Linked DNA regions of Caenorhabditis elegans. The protein of the gene in region 3 purifies or fractionates together with the protein of the main gene of each other region. This does not show direct contact. Each region holds a gene or a part of one and is shown on either strand. Other genes may lie near its edges.

Region 1 (3,756 bases), on a different chromosome or scaffold from region 3:
TTTACTGATAAGCACAAACCGGAGAGTATGCAGAAACAGAGTACTTGAAGAATTGGAGAATTGGTTAATAAATTGGAAACAAATGCAAAAAGTTTTGATTGGAATATTAGAAAATGGATTTTTTTTGGTTGGGATTGGGTTTATTTTAATAAATTTGATAATCAAAAAATTGTGAAATGAAAAAAGGTAAAAAACAGGAAATTTATTCGACAACGACCTCTTCTCCAACATTTGGATCCTCGGTGACTTGTTGTGGCTCGAAGTCATCAGTTGGAACGAAGAGTGGGACTGGCTCGACTGGTGCTCTGGCTCCCTCAACCTTGACCTGCTCAACGTACTTTGGTGGCTCCAAGTTTTTGCGGATCTGCTCGAGTTCTTCGTTTTGCTTGCGTCCCCACTCTGCTGGTGGTCGTCCGGTTCCGCGGACGAGGGAAGCCTGCTTCTCCTCTTCTGGGTTCTCGAACAAGTACCGACGGTCTCCGTAAGATCTTCTGTCGGTTTGACGGTCGAACTTAGAAGCGGTGGTGATCTTTGGTGGATGGACAGAGGAAGCAGCCTCCTCTGGGTCAAGTCCCTTCTTGAGAGCCTTGTTACGGGCGGCTTGACGTTGACGCTCGTGTAACTCTTTCATCTGAAGTAATTGAAATTTGGTTGAATGTCACACACAATATCAAATAAGTCTCATTGAATAGTTTAAACTTACGTCATAGTCTTGACGTTCACGTCTCTTCTCCAAGTCGTACTTCTCAGCCTCGAGCTTGACGATACGAGCATGAAGGCCTCTGATTCTCTCCTTCAAATCGTTTGGAAGAAGTCCAGAGACGTCTTGTACACGGCAGACGGCGGCCAAGAAGTTTCTCTTGGCATCCTCCATCTGTTCCTTGCTCATGACATCCTTTCCTCCCTTAGCCTGAAAGTTTCTTAATTAGTATTCGATTTAAAAATGATACAATAAAAATACCTGAGCCAAGTTTCCGAATTGAGCAGCTTGGTCTCCCTTGGAGGCGACAGTGAAGTTGCGTCCAGCTCCGGCTTCAACTCTTCCGTTGAAAGCTCCAGCCATCATTTGTTGACGACGGACCTTCTCCTCGTTCTTGCGGATCTTCTCGGCATCAGCCTTAGCCTTGCGTTCGTCTTCTTCCTTGCGACGGCGCTCGTCATCTTGACGTCTACGTTCAGCGAACTGACGCTCGTCCTCTTCACGCTCAGCTCGGCGCTTCTCTTGCTTCTCCTTGAGTTCACGAAGCTCTTGTTCGATTTGCTCCTTCTCAAGAACACGGCGCTGCTCGTAATCGAGAAGTTTAGCGGCTTCCTCTTCCTCGTGACGCTTCTTGGCGGCCTAGATATGAATTTGGTTAACAATTTTATGAATGAAACGGAAGGTCTCCCAAGAAGTTATACTCACCAACATGGCAATCTCAGCCTCAGTCATCTCCGCTGGTGGCTTCTCCTCTTGGACTGGAGCACGACGCTCCTTGACCTCTGGTGGAGCGACTACTTCCTCGGTGGTCTCCTCTCTACAATTTCAGTGTTATACAAAAAATCACGAATTCAAAGCTTAAACTTACGGCTCTTCAGCCTCAGCTGGGGCCTCTTCGGTCTCCTCGACCTCCTCCTCCTCGACCTCCTCATCAGAGCTAAAAAATTAAAAATTAGAATGTCTAGAAAAATGATAGGTATATAACTTACTATACCTCCTCCTCGTCGGACATGATTAGTTAGGTTTAGGTTCTGTAATTATATGAAAGTTAAATTCTCAAAATTCAAAATCTCAAAACATATTGATAAGAAGTGATGACACAGAAGAAGAAGGAAATTTGAGTATGTGCCGGTGGGATGTTGAAATCGACAATGAAGAGATATGAAAGTGCTTGCTCCGGGAGGCCGTCGTTGGCAGATAAGTGGGAGGGGCTGGCGGGAGCGGGAGCTCTCAGGGAAAAGAAAAGTATAACATACGGACACAATCTGTGCTGTAAACCTTACACCTACGCAGAGTGAGCAGCCGTGCCCTCCTCGTGTGGCTCTCGTCTTTCTCTCTGCCTGGGGCTTCCCGCGGGCAGTCTGCGTTTCCTCAGAATACGCAGACTTCTGTGATGTGCTATCGTAGAAATAGGGCATCATGTTTCGATCCGAAGGCTCAATATATTTTTGAATCACCAACATTGATTCGAGAAACGGGTTTCTCTGCTTCTCTCTCGATCACCAAGATGTGCACTTCACTATCTCTTCCTCCTACGCTGACACAGACAAGGGACCAACAAGAGACAGATGATGATGAAGAGTTTGGACAAGTTGAAAAAAACAACATAGTTTATACTGGTCAATTGATAAAAATTTCTAACAAGTAGTTAATATGTTTTAGAAATTACTGTGATTTTCCTATTATTCTTGTATCTTCCACTGCACACTAATTCTAATTGGTCAGCTTTAAAATAATAAAAACGCGTTAAATATTTATGTGGTTCAAAAAGTTTTGTTAAAATTTAGGTAAAATACGGTAAACTTATTTTATAATTACGAATTTTCAATGAATCATCACTTTTATTTAAATATTTTAACGCGCAAATGAAAACGTAGTGCTCTTTAAAATTGATCCATTTAAAGTAAACAAATCATTTTAATATTTCTACAAATATTAAATTTCAAAATTCAATGTTTAGAAATCAATGATATTTGTGTAATAGTTTCCAATTTACCGAGGCACCTTGCCAATCGGCTATCATCTTTTTCCAACAAGCTCGTTTCCACCAAAAATCCACTCACAGTGGCCCCTGCAATAAGACAAGCGGGGCGAGCATACGAATAATATTTGGGTGGCACAATTGTAAAAACGCAAAACAATAATACAAATATTCTTTCTTTTCATTTGAATGCAGCTGATGATCTTCGAGACGTTTTCATTCAAATTCTTGTAAGCCAGTGTCAATTGGCCGTCTGGTTCAGTTGCGGGGATCCAATTAAGGGAATTTGAAAAATTGATTCTAAATAATAAATAAAACATTAATTTCAAAGAACATAATAATAAACAAGGCAAAAAAATTACGAAAAGTGTGTTCAATGTGGTGACAACAGTCCACACTAATTAAATTATTGCAAAAAAATAGTGTTATTCTAAGAAATACGAACATCTTTGTGAAATACAAAATAAATGTAGTAATTAATCATCAATTTCAAAACTTTAGTCTAATTAATTTGATATTAACATATGAGATCAAAGATATAGATTACATTTTCGAAAATGTCAAAAAATTACCCTTATTCAGAAAATGTATGTTTTTGACACCTTGTATTTTTCTTGTATTTTATAACATATTTTTTGAAACATTGTATTTTTGGTTTCTAACTAGCAAATTAGTCTATGGTGGAGTAGGGGCAGTGGGGTAATTTTTCTGAACTACCACTCTTATAGTACCAAAACTATCAAATATCATAGTAAAAAGTTTCAAAAACTCTTTGCACATATTCAAAAAATTGACACACAAAAAGTGAAAATTACTAAGTTTTTATCACTTTTTGAGAAAAAATAGCACAGTCGCATGTTCGAGCGAATAAAATGTTTGAATATTATTATTTAAAACATAGGTAGACCATGAAATTTGAAACAATTTTTATTTGGCCATTTTGGCACTATAGATTTTTATCAATTTTCCACAATCGCGCTATTCTACGCTTAATGCCACCGAAAACTTTTAGAATTATTTGTAATTCTGTAGTTAAAAATCTAAGTTTCACTCTGTGAAAATCATTTTGAACTAT
Region 2 (3,152 bases), 3.4 Mb from region 3:
TGAAAATCATGAATTCACAAATTAAATCGGCTCGAGATTTCATAATGTATTCTCGATTTTATCGCTTTTGAAATTCCGCTTTAAAATTGAAAATTAAAACTCACTTTCTGGCAATATTAAACCCTAACAGATGAATTGGTTCTACATCCTCTTTGACATGACGTGGCAGCATATGAACACTACAATCAGAATGTATTTGAGCTGCAGTCATTTGAAAGAGTGGGTGGAAAGTGCGCAAATAAAGGGAAATTGAGATCTAAATCAGATAGGCATTTGTTCAGATTGTCCATTGGGGAAAGCCTGAACCGCGACTACGTTCACGGCTTTTGAAAAGGGGGTATCGATCTTTTTGCGCGTTGGCAATAGTTTCTGCGCTACGTCTCTCTATGCATACGTTATTCATACCGAAATAAAAATTCACCGGCGTGATATATTGCAGAACCTTTCCTATACTTTCTGCTCCCGAAAATATTATCCCAACAACTTGTGAATGTGTACCATTTTGTAATTAAAGACGAACAAATAGGGAACAATAACAATTTATTGGAACAACGAACAGATTAGTTCTTGGAGGCAAAGTAGTCGGTGAGGATGGCACGTCCTTGCTCCTCATTTCCCCAGTTGGTGACAACGGCGGATGAGCATCCAACGACCTTGCGGGCCTTTCCTTCCTTATCGTACTTGCAGAGTCCGCAGTACTCTCCGATGATCTTCTTATCGGCGACCTTAATGAGTGGAATCTGGTGCTCGGCGCAGAGGGTCTCGACAAGCTTGACGTATTGTGGCTCGTCGCAGTTCTCGGCGAGGACACAGAAGTGAGCCTCACGCCTGAAAATTGTTTGTAAAATCTTTGGAACACATACAGCATGATACCAGTACACGTGTGGCAGAGTAACAACTTATCTACCAGCTTATTGGGGTCACATCGATTCTAGAACCGGCGACGTTGAAAAATAAGTGGAACTAAAATACAAACTAAAATATCAATTACTTACTTGTCAAGAGCCTTGCAGGTCTCGTGGAGTCCCTTGGCGAGTCCATCAGCGTGGTGGGCAGCGCGAAGAACAGCTCTCAAAGCTCCTTCCTTGTCCATTGGTCCCTGGGCGACGGCGGCTGGGGCCACTTGAACATCTCTAAAATTATCCAATATTTTAATAGCCTTCATAAAAACTTAATTTTGCTTTTAAGACAAGGAATCTAATTGTTCGAACAACTTTGGAACCGATACAGCTTCAAGGCCAGTACCCGTGTGGCAGTAGAACGGTTTTTATTGCACACTACGATAGGAAAACTATGACTTCAAAATCTTCCGATATAATTGGTAGGTGCAAGATTTTTCAGAAAAAAACAAAAATAACCTACCCTCCTGCGTCAGACATTGTTGTTTGCAGCAAGAGTCCTTGATGCTTACCTGAAAATTAGAAATTTCGACTCGTTAATATTGTTTTCACAAAATATATTTCAAGATTTGAGAAAAAGAAAAAAAGAAAAGAAAAAATTGGGAAAATCAACGGAAAAGAGGGAAGCATGAAATGTTTCTGTATCACTCCGCAGCATGTCTTTGAGTCGCGGCACAGTGAAATGTGCTATAGAGCGCGCTTGCCATTTGTCGATTTACGGAGACTTGCACGCGGGAAGCTTTGAATTTCAACAGTTTTCTGTATTTTCTCAGTCTTCATCAAACATTCATTAGCATTTTTCAGGCAAATAAAGGAGTCAAATGGCTAACGAAACGCTGGAACATGTTCTTATTTACTTTTTGGAGAAGCTAAAAGACGTTCGATGCAACCAATCTCCAGAATTACTTCAAAAGCTGACACTCTCACAGTACAAGGCAAGTTGTCGAGCTTTCAGTCCATTTAAATTATTTACATGAATTTCAGACTCTTGCACAATTGGATGTGGACATGCGAATGAGACTGACGCAGGAAATGGAGAGCTATGTGGCGGATCATGTAGAAATTATGAAACTCGAGCTGCAATTGAAGAACAAGAAATGTGCGCTCGCTGGAAAACTGAAACAGTTGGGGACAACGTTTGATAAAGCTATTGTGGAGACTAAAGGTGAGTTGCAATAATTTTTTCACGAAAAAATAGAAAAATTCAGAACGAAACGAGCATTTGCGGATTGGCAGCATTGATTTTCTGAATCCCGTGGTTGAGAAAGTGGAAAAAATAGTTTTTGCAAAGCCAGAAATGCCACAAATATCAGTCGAACAAGGATCAGTTCTCGGTGAATCTGCGAGACGTCAACCGGAGCTTGTCTCTGTAATGGCTTCCATAATGAAACCACCAACATTTTCATCATTGGTGATGACAGGAAGGACTGAAAAGAAAGAAAATATTCCGGAGACCAAAAGCTACAGTCTTGATGATTCTTTGATAAACGGACATGGTAAATTGAATTAGTTTGTCTTTGCAATAAAAACATGCCATTTCAGACATATCAATGGTGAATACATCCAACGAACGACGAAAACTGGCTTTTGATGAGTTGGACGATGAAGAACTGCAAACTCCAGCAAGAAAACCACAAAGAACTCCATCCAGAGCTCCAGAACGGAATCCTCTTGATCTATTTTCCCTACAAGCACCGCCCGTCTTCACATCTTCAGTTGGTCGAGCATTCAATCAGACAAGGGATTGATTTTCTGAATTTTTGATACTAAATATTATTTTATTTATCTGTACAAATGTGGATATGAATACAATTTTCTGAAAATGAAATCAAATGAATTTGAAAATCCAACCAGTTTTCAACTGTGAATATTTTTAGAATTTTCGCATGTTCTAGTCAACGTTTTAGACAAAGTTTCAGCAATGGAAGAAGAGGAATGTTTATCACATTCATCACCATCAACCGATAATTCTCTTGAACTTCGACTGCAACGAGTGACTGCGGAAAACATAAAAACAGTTCGAATCCTCGTTTCAAGCATATTTCCGGTGTCGTACAGCGACAAATTTTATCAAGAATGTATGAATAACGAATTAACAGGAGTTGTAATACGAAACGGCGAGGCAATCGCCATAGTTGCTGTAAAGCCCGAGAATTTCGAAACAGGACGCGTACTTTATATAAGAAGCTTTGGAGGTTTGTAAATTTTTGAGAAATTAAGATTTTTTCATTTAAAATTCAAGAAAAATGTTAT
Region 3 (3,157 bases):
AATGAAAATCTGTTTTTTTTAATTGAAAATACCATGAAATTCAGTTAATTACAGAAAGCTCCAAAAATGATTGGAAAAAATTAAGCCGCCAGATGTCAAATGCTTTAACTTTTTTCAAAGAAGAGTTGATAACAAATTGTCAATAACAAAAACAAAGAAAACGTTATGACCTATATTTTGTATGTAGAAATTTTTTTTGCAAAACCTATTAGTTTTTGACTTATTCTCTTTTGGAAATTTTGAAAAATTATCAAGTTTTCCTACCTGCGCTTTTCAAACTTCAAAAAACTATGCAACTTGTCCTTCCAGTTTCTGAATTACGTTGTTGGCAAATAAGCTACCGTAACCCTGCACTTTGTACCCAATTCTTTCAACTGCTCAATGGACCTCGGAACCATATTGTTTACAATCACAACAACCACAACAAAACCCATAAACTTTGTGAAGACAACTCGAAAGTTTCGAAAATGTGCTTTACGTGAAGCCGACATGTGGTAGCCATTTGGGATTCATTTCACCGACCAAACTTCAATTCTTTCCATCTTTTCTAGAGAACAATCAATCGTTATTTGAATTAAAATACTTTATTTTGGGGGAAAATAATTGGAAAACCATATCATAATTATTACTTCTTAGTTGACGTATTGTCCGACGATGGCTTGAATCTTTTCGTCTGAAAATAATAAAATTATTGTTTGAATTAAACAATTTGAATGCTCAAAAATCTCAGAATTTTAAAACTCACTTTGGAAGAATCCAGTGAGGATTGGGAACTCAGCGGTGATGGTAGCCTTGGCGTCATCAGAAAGAGCCTTGTATTCAGCGATGTATCCCTTGGCGAGTTCCTTAAGAGAATCAAGAGTTGGCTTATCTCCGGCGAGGTATTGTTGGTGGAGTTCACGTCCCTTGGCGATGATCTTCTTGACAAGAGCCTGAGCGGTGGCATCGAGTTTCTCGAATTTAGCGGTGAGGAGAGCCTCGAGCTTTCCAGCCTTCTCGTAAAGGGATGGAGACTTTTCCTTGAGAGCAGCCTTGAATTCTTCCTCGGTCTTGTATTCCTTGTGGTTTTGGGCGAGTTCCTTAAGAGCAGCCTTCTCCTCAGCGGTGATGGCCTTGAGGTGCTCGGCAACTTCAGCTGGGATGAGTCCCTTGTACTCGGCTGGGATGTCGTCGAAGTTCTGTGGAACCTCTGGGATTGGGGCAGAGAAGACAGCCACGGAGGCAAGGGCTACGACGAGGAAGGCGCGGATCATTACTGCAATATTTTAAATTAGGGGTGGGAAATTTTAAGGTGAAATAGAAATAGAAGGTGATATCAAAGTTAAAGAACCAGTAAACTAGAAAAAAGAAACCATTTAGCAAAGTTTCGAAGTAGAAGATGAAGCTTTGAGCTGCTTCTGCTGTGCCGATTCTGCTCCGCCAGCCGATCTTTTATACGACCTTGGATGATGTATGTTTGAACCTCGTTTCATCAACGAAATAGTGCGTTGAACCATGAGAGTTCCGATGAAATATCACGTTCCCTTCGAGACGCAGACCTCATTTTTCCCTTATTTCTATTATAAAAAACCACTTTTAGTGTAATGAAGTTTAGGAAAAAATGTTTCTTTTTTCTATTTCTATTTCGATTCCCTTTGCTGCTGCTGATTCTTCGCAACTGCTCTATCTCACTGACTCCGCCCATTTGAATTGCTCATTTTCTGAGTCTCTCAAAGGACTACACTCTCGCTAGTTGATTGTAATTCTTCTGGGGTCACCATGTGGTCCGCCTCTTTTTGTTCGACTTTAAAAGATGCTCAGAACAATGGAAATCAACACTTCAGTCTCATTTCGCTTTCTTCTTCTTCTTATTCTTCTTCTTCTTCGTCACATCCCCGATTCTCATAATCTTTCAAATTTTCAGTAATGATCCGTGCCACTATCATCCTCGCCGCTGTCGCTGCCCTCGCCTTCTCTGCTCCAGTCCCGGAGGTCCCAGAGAACTATGACGATATCCCAGCTGAATACAAGTCCCTTATCCCAGCCGAGGTCTCCGAGCATCTTAAGTCCATCACCCCAGAAGAGAAGGCTATTCTTAAGGAGGTCGCCAAGGGATACAAGGACTTCAAGAGCGAGGATGATGTGAGTCTGAAAATTGAAAACTCTAGACCAATAATCAAAATATTAAATTGCAGTTCTTGAACGCCCTCAAGGAAAAGTCTCCAACTCTCCACGAGAAGGCCTCCAAGCTCCACCAAATCGTCAAGGACAAGGTCAACGCTCTCAATGATGAGGCTAAGGCTTTCGTCAAGAAGGCTATCGCTGAAGGACGTAAGATCCACGCTCAATACTTGGCCGGAGAGAAGCCATCCCTCGACACCCTCAAGACCACCGCCAAGACGTAAGTTTCGAGAAAATTACAAATTTCTCTGTCAGGATAACATTTCAGCCACATCGAAGCCTACAAGGGACTTTCCCAAGATGCCAAGGACTCCATCGCCAAGGAATTCCCAATCCTCACCGGATTCTTCAAGAGTGAGTTTAATAAACTTCTAATAATTTTCAATTTAATAATTATATTAATTTTCAGACGAGAAGGTTCAAGCCATGGTCGGACAATACCTCAACTAAATTTCCATTTCGCATTTTCTTTTTGTTTTTAATGTAATAAGCTTAATGGTTGGTTATTGGTTTTCTATAAACTTTGAATCGCAATAAAAACTTGATGCTTTCTGTAATGACTCATTAAATCAGTAGCAGTTGGTATCTCAAACAAATGATGCCCTCACAACAGTAGCATTCGGGCCTCTAAGATAAATTACTTTTAGTGAAAGAACTGATCGGAGACAATTGGAAAGATTTAACGGAGAAAAAAGTCTGCAAAGTCGATGCTTGAGACTTGTCAATTGGCCATTTAAAAAACTTGCACAGAAGTTGCTAGAGATTGGAATTTAAAAAAAACCTAAAAATCAAAGTCCCATCTTATTGCAAGCCTGTCAAAACTTATATTGTTTCAAGTACTCAAAATCAAATAGCATCCTTTCAATTAAGAAACATAACCATATTGATTTTAGGTACTTGGGATCAAATAGCGTTATTTCAGGTTCTAAACAGAGGAATTCACTGTGCTTTAAGGCAGTTGAAGCACTATCCATAATATCTGACATCCACCATCCAA

The links.
Region 1: the proteins of far-2 (region 3) and mup-2 fractionate together in Caenorhabditis elegans (co-fractionation; one large-scale study listed by BioGRID). This does not show direct contact.
Region 2: the proteins of far-2 (region 3) and rps-12 fractionate together in Caenorhabditis elegans (co-fractionation; one large-scale study listed by BioGRID). This does not show direct contact.

Annotation. Positions count from the first base shown.
Region 1 is NC_003284.9:6,408,497-6,412,252, forward strand, and holds the start of mup-2 (Troponin T), read right to left. Parts: upstream 1,732-3,756; 5' UTR 1,713-1,731; coding exon 1,690-1,712; intron 1,638-1,689; coding exon 1,569-1,637; intron 1,518-1,568; coding exon 1,406-1,517; intron 1,340-1,405; coding exon 962-1,339; intron 911-961; coding exon 704-910; intron 632-703; coding exon 203-631; 3' UTR 1-202. UniProt on the Caenorhabditis elegans protein: Troponin T is the tropomyosin-binding subunit of troponin, the thin filament regulatory complex which confers calcium-sensitivity to muscle actomyosin ATPase activity.
Region 2 is NC_003281.10:5,677,557-5,680,708, reverse strand, and holds rps-12 (Small ribosomal subunit protein eS12), read right to left. Parts: upstream 1,412-3,152; 5' UTR 1,380-1,411; coding exon 1,363-1,379; intron 1,332-1,362; exon of another isoform or gene 1,200-1,331; intron 1,134-1,199; coding exon 996-1,133; intron 965-995; exon of another isoform or gene 834-964; intron 829-833; coding exon 561-828; 3' UTR 522-560; downstream 1-521. Other genes in the region: pst-2 (Adenosine 3'-phospho 5'-phosphosulfate transporter 2), read right to left, coding at 105-211; ska-3 (Spindle and Kinetochore-Associated protein homolog), read left to right, coding at 1,721-1,834, 1,884-2,064, 2,108-2,395, 2,442-2,647; F54E7.9 (N-terminal methionine N(alpha)-acetyltransferase NatE), read left to right, coding at 2,821-3,094. UniProt on the Caenorhabditis elegans protein: Part of the small subunit (SSU) processome, first precursor of the small eukaryotic ribosomal subunit.
Region 3 is NC_003281.10:9,079,926-9,083,082, reverse strand, and holds far-2 (Fatty-acid and retinol-binding protein 2), read right to left. Parts: upstream 1,256-3,157; 5' UTR 1,254-1,255; coding exon 746-1,253; intron 674-745; coding exon 633-673; 3' UTR 572-632; downstream 1-571. Other genes in the region: far-1 (Fatty-acid and retinol-binding protein 1), read left to right, coding at 1,906-2,121, 2,175-2,380, 2,429-2,514, 2,570-2,610. UniProt on the Caenorhabditis elegans protein: Probably binds lipids.